Arabidopsis thaliana: one gene and its partners. The protein of the gene in region 2 interacts with the protein of the main gene of each other region in a pairwise test. Each region holds a gene or a part of one and is shown on either strand. Other genes may lie near its edges. The genes, in order: GIS2, AGL54 and AGL83.

Region 1 (5,169 bases), 7.5 Mb from region 2:
TATTTGTAATTTTGATTAAAATAACAAAATCGTATTTGTGTATCTTATTATTTATTATTATTAATATAAATAAACATCATCTAAATAATATGTATTTTTATATATTTTATAAGCCTATCTCGTAGTGTGCACTTAGAATCACATAGACGTTCAAGGCACTATGTACTCTTTGAACATTACTTTTATCCAATTCCAACTAAATAAACTATACTTATTAACTTCTAAAAACGATTTTCCTCTTCTTCATATATCTCAATGTTGCTCTCTATGGATACTTTACCTTTCATTCGTTCATCAAAGGTCATCTAGTACATTGTTCTCAACGATATGTGTCTATCTTGAGTCCATACGTTAATCCATCTGTATAAACATTAAGGCTAACGGAATTATTTAGGCGGATGTGTATTTCTTGTCAGAAACTGAGTTATTAAATGCTGCATTCAGGCGTTATTTACATCACAATTCGAATAAATTTAAACATTTATTTGGTTTGTCTTTAGGTGGAGGCAAAAAAACTTGAAAGAAAAATGTAAACATTTTCAAGTTTAAACTTAGTGGTGATGTATCCCTTGGGACCCTTTACTGATTCGATTTAGATTTGAGAGTTAATGTTATTGGCGTGGACATTTCATAACCAATCAAACGGTCTTTCGAAACCAAATATATGTTGTCAAAAAAGAAATGCAAAATAATTGACGATTTTTTTTAAAAAAGAGAGAGTTGAGCTAACAAATGTGTTAGTTAAGTTTTCGGTTTCGTACTACTTTAAGCTATGCTTTAAAGTTTCTAAAGAGAATGTTAAATAAATAAACTGGTGTGGTTGAAAAGAAGGTTCGAGGATAATTTCTATTGGTGATAAATGGGTTTATGGTAAGTAATATGAAAATAACGATGTGTCAAATGAAAAAAATAACAATATTAAAAAACAAAAATCGAAAAAAATGTTACAAATAAATTCGTATTTTTTGATATTTGAATATTTTTTTTAGAAAATAAAAGGTCAAATTGTTTTTTACGAAAATTAAAGTGTCCACTTTTATGGTTGCTGTCTTGCTGATTATCAAATCGATCATTTAAATATTCCCAATTAATCACATACTTTAACCGTCGTTAGATGTGATTGACGAATGTTTCGCTTCTAAACACTATATTATTCAATTAATAATTTTACCTTTTTAGATACAAGTTGAAGTTTCAAGTAGCGATTTTAAAATACAATCCGAAGATTTTAGCATATGTTAATTTTGTTTTTGTTAAGTTTCATGGGTTAAGGTCCATTCTCAATTCTATACTTATAATGTGAGATATAAACCTATTCTGAGATTGGAATGCGTCGATAATATTTAAGACTTTAAATCTCAGAAAGAAACTATCTGAAGTTAAAGTTCATCTCCATAAAATTGTTTAACTGTTAATATAACATGATATCTACGGGGATACACTATCATAAATTCATAATTAATCAAGTAGACTAAAATAAAATAAAAAGTATTTGAAAGAAGGAAAAAAAACTAGTCTCTCTTTTTTTTTTTTTAAGAACTAGCTAGAGAGAGATACTAAAAGAATGGAACTAGAGGCGTAGATCCAAACTCACGTGGTCCGGTACATTCTTCTTGGACTCGTAAAACAGACCATGGCTGCTGCTACCACCACCGACATACGTTGGTCTAGTCTGGTGATCACCGATGAACCAAGGAATATATCTATTATAATAAGATGAACGGTCACGATTAAAACTCGCAGATGAGTTATACATACGACATAACCCTAATCTCGCGTCGTTGATTTGAACAGCTTCAAGGCTATAGCGATCCTCGTAGAGCCTAGAAGCAGCAATGTGGTTTTGTTGGCGGTGGAAGAAAGCGGCTGCGTTTGAATGGAGGTTGAAGCGTTTAGTTTGTTGACGTTCTCTCTTGTGAGCGTTTTGATGGCCGCCTAGGGCTTGTGAAGTAGGGAAGTTCCGGAAACAATAGTGGCACTTGAATCTTTTTTCTTTGTTATCGTCTTTGATGCTTTCATTGTTCTCGTTGTAATTGTCTTTGGACTCAGATTCTTCATGAGAAGCTCCAAACTCGAAGCCAAAGAGGCGAATGGGTCTTTCCTTAGGAGAGAAAGAGTTGACGTTCATGAAATCATAAGTCTTCATTTTAATATAGTGGTGGTTATGACTCTGGATGGCTAAGTACAGAGAAAAGATTGAAATTGTAGAGTTGAAGTAAAGGAAGATTTTGGCTTTCTATTTCTAGATTCTTCAACTTAGTGTTAAATTTGCAACTTCGAAGTACGGTCTCCTCTATGTTTCTTGCATTTAATTCCCGATGGGGTATGTACATAGATAATTTACACTGAATAACTATTAACTATAATAGACCTATTCAGGCACATTTAGTTTTTGGTAAGTAGTATATATTTACCCGTTTCTAGCTATATTCTTTCTAATTTTGCTATATTATAGTCTTGTATATGTAGATAGGATTAGCCAGACAAGAATTGAACTAAACTAGTGAGCTAATTGGTTTGTCTCCTTGTAGATAATCTAGTGAGCATTCAATTCAAATGCGGATTTGCCTTGATGATTTCTACCCGTCGAACTACCATCATTGATATGTCATGTCAATGCATCTTTTATGAAAAGGTTTTAGTACACGTATTTGATGTCAAGATAGTATATAGTTGTATCTTTAAGGTTCCTGTTTCTATGTTTAATAGTGACAGCTTATATACAGTATATAACACTGATGGCTATGTGTGAGGCTTTAGTCCAAAACTTCAAATCTCTGTCGTGATATATATACATTTTTTTCTTCCTTATGGTCAGTTTTAGAACAACCATGTTTTTGAGTAGTTAATCAAATTGTATGTTGCCTCATCTAATCAAATCCTCATTTTTGAGTAGGTAATACTAACCACAAGACCAAAAAGTAAAATAAAACAACCATGCATATGAATTAACATATAGTACAAGTTTTCAGGTGGATCCCTCAAATTAATGTAGTTAGATGGTAAACTGCGTGGTGTCACATCTTTGTTTCCTCATCTGCGCGATTACTTTTTTTTGTGTTTGGATTTTGCTTTTCGTCTCGAAGTACGATCTTGTTAAAAACAGATTCATTAATGTTACTCTCCATAACAAACTGCAACAGTGACGATATATTATGTTAATTTGTCTTCGTCATATTTGTTTTATTATAATGGATCATGAAAGTGGTCGCCCATGAGGAAAGAACATGGTCGTGAACCAAACGTTGCTCACACGATCGATTCGCATGCAGTTGCTTTAACAGAAGAAGAACAGCTTAAGCAACTCTAATATACCCTAAAATTCTTCAATAATCCTTTAGAAACAAAAGCAGTAGTTAATACACAGCCTTTTAATTCATCATAAGAGAAATAAAATATTTTTTCCCTTGTCACATAAAATTTATGAAACAAAAATTTTCTCAATAGCTAAAATAATCATTAATAGTCTTTTGTTCTTCTAATTATTTGAGTTGACAAAGTTCAAACAAAAGAAAACGAACAAATATTTCAAAAATTGAGGATCTAATAAAATTTCATATTCTCCACGATCGAATTGCTACTTTATTTCAAACAAACAACATTGCACGTCCTCTAATGTAATTGGAAGTGCCACACACGAAGCCAACTTGAGAAGATAGTATAATATTTACACACACAAAAAAAGACTATATAAATGGTATTCATGTTCAAGTATAACATAAAACCAAAACAAATAAATAAAAATAAAGAGATGGGTATGATGAGATCCTCAAGAACGATGGGGTTAGGGCATTGCATGGTTTACGTTGTGGTCCTAAGTGCCATTGCGGCTACAGTGACATCATACCCTTACTCCTCTCCTTACTCATCCCCTCAAACCCCACATTACAATTCTCCCAGCCATGAACACAAAAGCCCTAAGTACGCGCCACATCCAAAACCATACGTTTATATTTCTCCACCACCTCCATCATACTATTCTCCTTCTCCAAAAGTAAACTATAAGTCTCCACCACCACCAAACGTCTACAACTCTCCACCTCCACCATACTATTCTCCTTCACCAAAGGTTGATTATAAGTCTCCACCACCACCTTACGTCTACAGTTCCCCACCTCCACCATACTATTCTCCTTCTCCGAAGGTTGACTATAAGTCTCCTCCACCACCATACGTCTACAGCTCCCCACCCCCACCATACTATTCTCCTTCGCCAAAGGTTGAATACAAGTCTCCACCACCACCGTACGTCTACAATTCTCCACCTCCACCATACTACTCTCCTTCTCCTAAGATAGAGTACAAGTCCCCACCACCACCATATGTCTACAGTTCTCCACCCCCACCGTACTACTCTCCATCTCCAAAGGTTGACTACAAGTCCCCACCACCACCGTACGTCTACAACTCCCCACCCCCACCATACTACTCTCCTTCGCCAAAGGTTGACTACAAATCTCCCCCACCACCGTACGTCTACAGTTCCCCACCCCCACCATACTTCTCTCCTTCGCCAAAGGTTGAATACAAGTCTCCCCCACCACCGTACGTCTACAATTCTCCACCTCCACCATACTACTCTCCTTCTCCTAAGGTAGAGTACAAGTCCCCACCACCACCATATGTCTACAGCTCTCCACCCCCACCGTACTACTCACCATCTCCAAAAGTTTACTACAAGTCCCCACCACCACCATACGTCTACAGCTCCCCACCCCCACCATACTACTCTCCATCTCCAAAGGTTGACTACAAGTCCCCACCACCACCGTATGTTTACAGCTCTCCACCCCCACCATACTACTCTCCTTCGCCTAAGGTTGACTACAAGTCTCCCCCACCACCATACGTCTACAGCTCCCCGCCCCCACAATACTACTCTCCTTCGCCAAAGGTTGCGTACAAGTCTCCCCCACCACCATACGTCTACAGCTCTCCGCCCCCACCTTACTACTCTCCTTCACCAAAGGTTGCGTACAAGTCTCCCCCACCACCATACGTCTACAGCTCCCCGCCCCCACCATACTACTCTCCTTCACCTAAGGTTGATTACAAGTCTCCCCCACCACCATACGTCTACAGCTCCCCTCCTCCACCTTACTACTCTCCTTCACCAAAGGTTGAGTACAAGTCTCCCCCACCACCATACGTCTACAGCTCCCCTCCCCC
Region 2 (5,151 bases):
TGCCAAAGAATGGCCAAGAAGGAGCAAACGCAGTAAACAATGGCAATTAAAGTTAGCACATCTATTGTTTTCCTTTCTTATTTCAAACAAAGGTTTCATTACATCTTTGAAAATTCCAAACAAAAGAGACACCTCCGAGGATCCTGATGATCATTGTTCATTGTGATAAAAACAAAAAAAGGTTTAAGAATCTGCTCCCCTTTAATGACCTAAAGCACCGATTGTCTATAGCAAAAATTATGCAGTCAAAGAAGCAAAGAGCATTTTACAGATTAAAATTAACCCACAGATAGTTTGAATTCCCGAAACTACAAAGTCAAAGAATCAGCTCAGAATAAACGTTGAATCTACACCTAACCAACTCACCGAAGCATGCCAATAAGAAGAACAACAATCCAGAAGGGTGAGTTGAAAGCAAAATTTACAGTGGATACAAGTTCGTTGTCTAGCGCCAGAAAAGCTTACCGGATCTGGGAAACAGATGGAATCAGTCGGTAACGATGGCCCGTTAGTCGCCGTTGAGACCCTGTGTCGGTGGAGATTATGAGATCACGGTGGATCGAACAGCCCGAGGTCACAAAAAATCGAATCGTTCTCCTCCGATACTCCATTATTGATTTAATTTTTATCAGATTAAGTCTTGTATCCATGAATAAATGATTTTGTTTTTAAAGTTTAAATTGTGACTGAATTATATTTAAGGATATTTGTGGGTTTGTTCTTGTTAATATGGTTCCTTCTTTCTAATATGTTTCGTTGATTGGTTTTGCATCATATAATTATCATTGGCTTATGACGTTGTGAATGCTAGAATTTTCTTTAGTTTAGTTTAGCTTCAAGTTAATTTTCTTTCATCCACCACCAGTAACTAACTATGCAGCTCTTACCTCTAGGTTATGTAGCGTTTTGGAATTCAAAGTTGTAAATTCTGTTGATTTTCAATGGTGACAGTGCTTGTGGTTAGTTTGGTTTATGCAGCTTACTTTGGCTTATAGGATTATAAGTTACCTACTAGTATGACTAGGCTGAAATTTTGTTGATTTTCCAGTGATGACAGGATCTTATTGTGAGTCAGGAGTATGTAATGTTATTTTCTTTCCTTTTTGAATCCTTTATTAACTATTTCGATTTACCTTATTGCATCAAACATGGAAACATGCCTACAAGTTTCTACTTGGTTAGATAATGGCTAATTGACTATATTAAACTCTGCGTACTAAATTAAGTTCTTGTGTTGTTGTTGTACATAGAATAAGTAGATTAATCCTCTCATTTTTACCCCTTACTTCTTCCTTTTTTTGCCTAGTTTTACCTTTGATATTGCTCCGATTCTCTTTCTATGCTCTGGTTGGTATGTGTATAATTCATCGATCTTTGTATTCCGTCTAATCTCTCCGATTTCACTGATTCTTTGGTCTTCTCTGATTTTAGTTTTAGATCTCAGTTAGAACAAAGTCTTTAAGGTTGCAATTTCAGTTCCTCGCAGCTCCATACAAAATATTGAAGAGCTTCCATACAAACAAGAGGCATCAATTTAAACCTCTGTTCATGATCAAAAACAAGGGCACCAGCTTTCATTTCATGAAACTCAACACTGAGACTGATTAATGACTGAGAAGTCCACTCCTAAAACCTTAACATTATCATCTAGCCTTCTTGCAATGCTCAAATCTTCAAGAACTGAACAAGACAAGATAAGCAATTGTATAGCTTCACCATTGGCTTATACATTCTGTTCTAAACACATGAACTTAGACATAAGGTAAAGAAACTGACTCGAAATCACGCATCAAAACCTGATGGAGTCTTTAAGTACACCAATGTCTAACATATATAAAGACTTAGTGGAATCACTTTTAAAACTCTAACGCTTCACATGATACGTAGCATCAAGATGCTTAAGTTAACGCTTAACTACAGAATCTATCCACCACGTGACACTGACACAAAACTGTTCATTCTCAATCCTCCGGACACACTTTACCTGAGCTTGTACAAGCATGAATCCTTAGAGGAATCTAAAGACCTATCAGCAAAACTCACTAAGGCATTGTAATCTGGAAATTCATTGGAATCTAAATTCAACGAAGCCAGAGTTTCTCCACCTCTTGGACAAAACACTACTTTTGACATCATCTTTTGTCGGAAGCTGCAGTAATTTGCTTATCCTATTATCTTCTCTTCCATTAAATCGATTCGTAAAATTAAACTGAAGATCACACCGAGACAAGCTCAATTACTCAATTAGTTGGCTTATCTGCATAAATTATGTACATCTAGCATTCATTTCAATGTCTATTGTATATTAAAGATCTTAATAAAGCAGGTTTTCAAACTCAAATTGTAGACTCATACAAATATAGAAGAAGCCAAGACTTTTTTTAAAACTTGAAAAAATAGCATTCATACATACTTAGAAAACATACAAATTAAACTCATAACCTAAACTGAGAATATATAATAGAAAATAACAGAACGTTGACCAAGTCAAAGAACAGATCTTGGAACAACAAGACCTAATTATAAGAGAACATCATTGGATCTGCAAACGATGGTGCTTGATTCCATGGCGCAAACTGATCAAAGGGGACAAGTGGGGTTTGTGTCTGCATCTGAGGAGTAAACACCATGGGAGGAAGATCAGAGTTACTTCCTAGACCAGATCCTTGTTCCCCAAGTAAAGTCGATTGCTCAAAGCTAGAAACAGAGTTAGGGATTTGACAGAAGCTACAATCATCATGGTTATAGGGAAAGACTGAAAATTTGCTCTCATGTTGACTCAATGATGACGTTGATAGGTCTTACTCTGTGTTTGACAATGGTTCTGTCCATTGTTGTTGATGTTGATGATCCTCAATCAGCGAAGGAGAAGACAATGGATACGTTGTGGAATAAACCGCACAGCTCTGACCTAACTCGGTCTGGTTTTTCTCGGGTTGGAGTAACAGAAGCTTATCTTGTAGTACCCGTAGACCACTTTCTAACGAATCCTCCATCTCTAAGACTTTCTCCGACAATTTCTTGTCGTGGAGGATCTGCTTACGTAGAAACAGAGAAAGGTTGGTTCTTTTTTTGCATCGTTCTCTCTCGTGTAATCTGCTAAACCTCTCTGCCATGTCTCGAACCTTAGATTGATCTTCCGGCCATGTCTTGATGAGTTTTCCGTCACGACCATAGTATATGACACAGACTTCGATGTCGCACAGAGTCGAAAGCTCCAAGGCTTTCTTAAACATGGTCTGTTCTCTCATCGACAAATTCGTGGTCTTTTTTGCATTGGAAGAAGACAGAGACGATTTCTTGAAACAAGTTTGGTTTCTTACAAACAATTTGGTATTCTTCTTCGTAGACGTTGAAGAATCCATTGTGATGTTTGTTTACACAGAGAAAGAAAGAAAAAGAAGCTTTCAGTTATTTCTCAAAGAGAAAATAAACTCTGAACGATATAATTCAGTGAAAGTTGAGAGGGTTATATAGAATTTGTTAAATTCGATCGATTTCCATATCGTTTCTTCATTTAATGATGTAATCTAAAATCAGATCCGATTTCTAACCGTTGTAAGGTAATAATTAAATAATTAATTAAGGTAAGCAAAAACCCTTAATTGTTGTTTACACAAAAAAAAAGAAAAAAAAAAAAGAAAGAAGTAGCTTATCAGAGAGAAAATAAAATCTGATAATTGTGTAACACGGTTCTGATATTAATCTAACCGTTGGGGTTTTTCAATAATTGTAGTAAAAATCCTTCTTCTTCTTTTTTTTATTTTGATCACGTCTAATAAAAATCCTTTGTATGTTTGATATCATAGAGGAAATATAAATTAGATCCGATTTTACAAATATCAATCTAACCGTTGTAGTAAACATTTTCTATATAATTTAAGGACAGCAACAAAAAAAAAACTAAATTGATTCCACTATTTTCAATATATGTTCTTCATCATTCGCTTCCCTCTCAGCGGCTAAACAAAACTCTTCGCTCTCTTCGCTCTCTCTGCTCGAATATATTTGATTAGTCGTTGTCTCTTTCTCTAACTTGTTTACTAACGCTTACTTCTCTTCTCTGCAAGCTTTTATTTGATTAGTCCCCTTTCTCTAATTTCGTTTAATTCCTTCTGTTTCGTTGTAATGGATTCGGATACGTGTACAGTTCCAGACCACTTTCTTCCGAGGAAACTTTCCAAGCAAAACTTGGACAGATTCATCCCAAACAGATCCGCCATGGATTTCGATTTTGCTAACTACGCTCTTACCCAAGGAAGAAAACGTAATGTCGATGAGATAACTTCAGCATCAAGAAAAGCCTACATGACGCAATTGGCTGTGGTTATGAATCAGAATCGCACCCGTATTCTTGCTTTCAGAAACAAACCTAAAGCTCTGCTTTCTAGCAATCACTCTGATTCTCCTCACCAAAACCCTAAATCCGTAAAGCCTCGTAGATACATTCCTCAGAATAGTGAGAGAGTCTTGGATGCACCTGGTCTTATGGATGACTTCTACCTTAACTTGTTGGACTGGGGCAGTGCTAACGTCTTAGCCATTGCTTTGGGAGACACCGTTTACTTGTGGGATGCTTCCAGTGGCTCTACGTCTGAGCTTGTGACTATTGATGAAGACAAGGGACCTGTCACAAGTATTAACTGGACGCAAGATGGTCTTGATCTGGCAGTTGGTCTTGACAACAGTGAAGTCCAGCTTTGGGATTTTGTTTCCAATCGTCAAGTGAGAACATTGATAGGTGGTCACGAGTCAAGAGTAGGATCATTGGCATGGAACAATCACATTCTAACAACTGGAGGAATGGATGGAAAGATCGTCAACAATGATGTGAGGATCAGATCTTCCATTGTTGGAACTTACTTGGGTCACACTGAAGAGGTTTGTGGTCTTAAGTGGTCAGAATCTGGAAAAAAACTAGCAAGTGGTGGTAACTACAATGTAGTACACATATGGGATCATCGTTCTGTCGCTTCCTCAAAACCAACTAGGCAATGGCTGCATAGGTTTGAGGAACATACAGCTGCAGTGAGAGCTCTTGCGTGGTGCCCTTTCCAAGCAACTTTGCTTGCAACTGGTGGTGGTGTAGGAGATGGGAAGATTAAGTTCTGGAATACACACACTGGGGCTTGCTTGAATTCAGTAGAAACT
Region 3 (5,133 bases), about 11 Mb from region 2:
ATCGATTACCAATATTAGTTAATGGGGATGTTGAACCAAGCTTTTTATCCGGTCCACCAAAGTCATGTCCGTATGAATTCCTATCTGCCAAAAGTCCATTATCACTATTGGCGGGTTAATTAAGCTCGTGACCAGTGTCGACCCTGAATTTTATAAGACCACATACATGAGGAAAAAATGGGCCGCTACATCAAATTTTGAATAATTTTATTATTCTGTTGGAAAACAAAAGAGATCTCTTAAGCCATACTGAAGTTTCGAACTCGAAGATGATACATCTTCACGAAACTACTAGACAATCGTATATTTTGCAAAAAGACCAAATTTTTGTGATAAGCTCTCTCTGTATAGAGCTAGGATTTTCCGATCGCCGTTCAAACGAATCTATATATCCAATAGGTGTTGATGAATTTGGGAAATACATACTTCATGAACAGCATAAATGCATAATTCAATATTTGGTTCATACAACCTCTATTGTTTAATAATTTCTTTGTTGTTCAAAGTTTCCTCCCCAACTGCAAAATCGCAAAAGAGAACCTTAGTTATCTTGTAACATCCAAATACACAGAATCTTGAAACCAAAATTGATAAACAGACTTTAAGATGAATCCAATTTGACCTAATCCAGATCGAGATCGAGACTACAAAAGCACAACTGAAAATTTTGAAGAACGGTTTGAAATTAGAAGATGATCAAAGTAACCTTTAAGCTCGACCAATAAAAAATAATTACCAATCTTTTATCTCTCTTCCTGGACACGGATCCATACGTAGTTGTCACTAAATCTTCGCTGATCGGGATAAAGAAACAAACCTTCAACTAAGGGTTTGAGACCAAGAAGATCTTCTGAAGTTGCAAATGGATTAGCCGCATGGTTATTGTAAATCACATTAGTCTCATCGCGATTGAGTCAGTGAGTATTAGATGCTTGAAACGCGAGGTTTGTTTCGTGCACCGCCGAAGAATTTCTAATGTTCATACAACCCCAAACGCAGGCGCCACCACATAAATGTATTACTTATCCCACATTTGTATTTAAATCCCAAAAAATTATATTTGAAGTTACTGTCTTTTCTTTGTCTGTTCTAACCTTTCATCTTGCTAGTTATCATTAAAAAACTACTATAAACTTTTAACGCTAAAGATGTATCATGGTGATATTATTAGTTTAATTTTGGAATAAATTTTGGTGAAAGTTAGAATTAGATTGTTAATTTTCACCTCAACTTTATGTTATTTTGACCCCTAATTTTGTCTAGATTTGTTGATATTGCATCTGGACAACTTTTGCTCTATCGGCAAGATTTTGTTGTGGGATATGATTCGTGAAACCTCTTGAGTAAAATAGTGGAACTTATAGAGGAAATGTATAGATAAGAAAATTGAATTATAGAGTAATAATATTTTTTCTTAAATTTTGTGGAGGACTAAATAAATCACTCTAATATATTCAACCAGTTAAATTAGTTGTATTTATTAACATTAAATTTAACAAGTTGATACTGTAAAATTAGTTTATAATCTTGTATTGATCAAATTGTCTCACTTGTATCTTCCTATAATCTCACAGTAAAATTTTATAATTAGTCAAATTTTGATACTAATATTTATGTAAAAAATAATTATTATTTTTATATTTCATTTAATATTTTGATAAAATAATAAATATGCAATGTCCAGCAATACTAATTTATTGAGGTTTTATTGTGTGTCATGGAGTTATTTTTTTCATGGATACATTTCGAAGAAATATAACTATGATAAGCATTACTTCAATTTACACAACTAGTGAGTTTTAAACAGATTTAGGGAATCAGCCAATATGGTTCAAAAACCTTTTTTGTAAAGATTTACATACATAATAAAGTTCAATTTGCAGGAAAAAAGCATTACTTGAAGATAATAAAAATTTTAGCGCTCTAATGAATTCAAACGACCTTCTCTTATACAAAAAAATCATAAAACTCATTTAAAAAACATAGAGTCGAGCTTGTCTTGTAGCGCAAACTACGCTTGAGAACTATGTGGTACCTCTTTAGTTTTTTTTTTTAATCGTGATTTGCTAAATCTATTAACCAATCCAGTCATATTGTTAAAAACTATTGTGGAAGAAAGAGCAAAAGAGAGTAGGTGAAATCATTGGGCCAAAGAGGGATGCTCGATCGGGTTCTCCTTCAATTCCTTAGTTGATTCAAATTTTATTTTACAATCCATTAATAAATTAATTCACATATACCTTAACCCCAACCTTGACAACAAAAAAATCTTAAATTAAAATTTAAAAGATAAATCAACATTTCGTTGAGCTCATAGTATGTGAACTTTTCTAGTCATTATGGTTTGTCCTAAAACAGTATGTGAACTTTTCTAGTCTTTTCATATCGCTGAGAGCTAAGTCATGTTTCTTATTCTTAAAACAATAGTCTCTACTCTCTCATAGTAATGTTGGTCTTGTCATAGAGGTTTTGATGTATAGTTACATGATTATTTGGTTGGGCTTAATTTCATTTTATAACCGTTGCATAAATATCATTCTACTTTTTTTCTGTATTGGCGGTAATTCCTTCTTGAATATATTCCTCTAAAAAAAAATCAACTCGTCATTCTCGAATATTTTTAATTTATTTATATAAGAAAATAATAAAGGATAAAAAGAAGGATTCTGGTGGATAGTTGGAACTTAGCCCATACAATATTACGTTGCATGGTTTACTCTATTTAGTAGTTACGTGAACCGTACGTTAGAGATTGAAATCAAATTGGTTTGGTTCAGAATTGGGTTTTGTTGGAACGATATCGGTTTGCTGTGGTACATAGTCGAAACTAGTTTAGGTGGATGATGAGGTTTCGATATTTCCTTTTTTATTTGAGATTCGATATTACCTTATTCATATGAGATTCAATATTTCCTTATTTATATGAGATTCAATATTTTCTTATTTTTATGAGATTCGTTCCTTATTTATACGAGATTGAGAGATTATGGCTTTCACTTGTCAATTATCTTTCTCCACGCAAAAACAAAAACCGTCGCTGTGGTGAAATAGATAAAATCAGAATGGTGAAAAAAGGAGGTACGAAGAGGAAGATTGCGATTGAGACGATACAGAAGAGCGATTACCTTAGGGTTACTTGCACCAAACGTCGTGAAGGTCTCTTTAGCAAAGCTTCTCAGCTTTGTCTTCTCTCCGATGCACAGATCGCTATCTTAGCGACTCCTCCTACTTCTGAATCCAACATCTCCTTCTACTCTTTCGGTCACTCCTCCGTTGATGCCGTTGTCTCTTCTTTCCTCTCCGGGCAACGTTGTGTTCCTCTTCAGGAGGATACCAAAGAGATGAGAGAGGACGTTGCTATTTGCTTGTCTCGTACAAATCTAGGGTTAGGGTTTTGGTGGAACAACGAGAGCCTCAACAAATCGGAGAATCCTCAAGAGATTAGTGACGCTATCAACTCTATGTTAACGCTCTTGAGTAATCTCAAGGAATTGAGTGGGGAGGAAGCTTTAGTTAACGATCACAAGGACTTGAAGAAGAATGAGAGGAGCGATGTTGTTTTACAACACGGAACTCAATATGAAACCCTAAATCCTAACTCCAACACTACTACAATTTGTTGCGTCCCTGATGAATTACCTGCCAATTCCAACGAGATTGTTGGAATCTCACCAAATCCTTTGATTATGCTAGAAAAGAAGAAATCACAAATTGAAGAAAAGTTTGAGAAGGAATGGCAAGTTTCAGTTACTCGAATTGAAAATGAAGCCACGAGTTCTTATGCAAAACGAAGAAGAAGTATATGACCTGGATTAATTGAATTAGGAAAAAGAGCATTCTTATGCAATAAGGACATTTACAATTATGCTTTAGTTAAATTAGTCTTTCCTAGAAGAATTATGTTAAGCATTACTTTGTTATATGCTCTCGTGTATATGCTCTCTCACGAGAGCAAGAAGCAAAACTTCTATTTATTTCTTTTGAACACAATTTGGAGTTCTTACACCAACTGCAGCCGTAGTTTTTTTTAGTAGAAACTCATATAATTAAAAAAAAAAAAAAAAAAAAAAAAAGAAAAGAAAGAGATGAGAGAGAATCTCTGAAATTTCTAACTTTAGAATCGTTTCTATAATTCTTATACGTTAGTATTTTTGTTTTTTGGATATAAAAGTAAAATATTAATACTTTTTGGTTTTTAGACACTATATAAATCCTATACGTTGGAGGTGCTTTAGTTTCTTACCACAAATCCCAACGTGATGTCGTTTTACAACATAGAACTCAAGAGTCAAGATCAGTGGCGGACCACGTTGGTCTTGGGTGGGGCATGTGCCCTACACTGAATTCTATAAATCCTTTCTCAGTTAAAATTCAGTATAAGCAGCATGGCTCCAATAGAGTGCACCAAGTTTCATTTTCCATATAGTAGTCGATCGTTGGCTCCAACCTTACCAAACAAACAATGAACCAAGAATATATATGTTTTAAACATTGGCACAGAGCGAACTCATCTATCTTTTGACATGAATTCTTTGAGAGATTCAGATTTTTGAACTTGGAGTGACTACAAAGAGATTGCACCATATATACTTGTATAGTTGTATACACCACAACATTAGGGAAGTATCCATTAGTTAGCACCCATATATATACTTGTATAGTTGTATACACCACATCATTTTTGCCTTAATTAATTACTAACAATTCAGAAATACCAAAAATATCTAAGGATAACTCTCACATTCATCGAATTATTTTAAATGAAAAAGTTTCAAGCTTATGATTTTGTCAACAATATATTGCGGTTCGATCATCGATTATACTAACACAGACCATACTTAGTGTATATTCGATATGCTTATAATTAGTTGCAAACATGAAAATTAGATTTTATGTTTATCATCAACATAATACCAAATTTGAATTTGGACGGTAAACTACTACGACAATAATAACCCAACCAATAGACTATAAAGTTACAGATTAGTTAAATACATAAACTCGATTAACTAACACGGAGAATCACATATTTTCATGTCCTAAATTTTCTCTCAATCACACTTCACCACTACAATAATATTTCAGTCCTGTCTACCAAAAAAATAATAATATTTCAGTCCTCGCTCAACACTC

What was found.
Region 1: the proteins of AGL54 (region 2) and GIS2 interact in a two-hybrid assay, tested with the Arabidopsis thaliana proteins (one large-scale study listed by BioGRID).
Region 3: the proteins of AGL54 (region 2) and AGL83 interact in a two-hybrid assay, tested with the Arabidopsis thaliana proteins (one large-scale study listed by BioGRID).

The regions. Positions count from the first base shown.
Region 1 is NC_003076.8:2,040,463-2,045,631, reverse strand, and holds GIS2 (C2H2 and C2HC zinc fingers superfamily protein), read right to left. Parts: upstream 2,214-5,169; 5' UTR 2,147-2,213; coding exon 1,571-2,146; 3' UTR 1,432-1,570; downstream 1-1,431. Other genes in the region: AT5G06645 (gibberellin-regulated-like protein), read right to left, coding at 4,290-4,583, 4,659-4,799; EXT10 (Proline-rich extensin-like family protein), read left to right, coding at 3,704-5,169. UniProt on the Arabidopsis thaliana protein: Probable transcription factor required for the initiation of inflorescence trichomes in response to gibberellin and cytokinin. Is not involved in the regulation of trichome branching. Is functionally equivalent to ZFP8.
Region 2 is NC_003076.8:9,530,059-9,535,209, reverse strand, and holds AGL54 (AGAMOUS-like 54), read right to left. Parts: upstream 3,471-5,151; 5' UTR 3,366-3,470; coding exon 2,802-3,365; 3' UTR 2,513-2,801; downstream 1-2,512. Other genes in the region: GLR2.1 (glutamate receptor 2.1), read left to right, coding at 1-50; CDC20.3 (cell division cycle 20.2, cofactor of APC complex-like protein), read left to right, coding at 4,129-5,151.
Region 3 is NC_003076.8:20,072,380-20,077,512, forward strand, and holds AGL83 (AGAMOUS-like 83), read left to right. Parts: upstream 1-2,948; coding exon 2,949-3,806; downstream 3,807-5,133.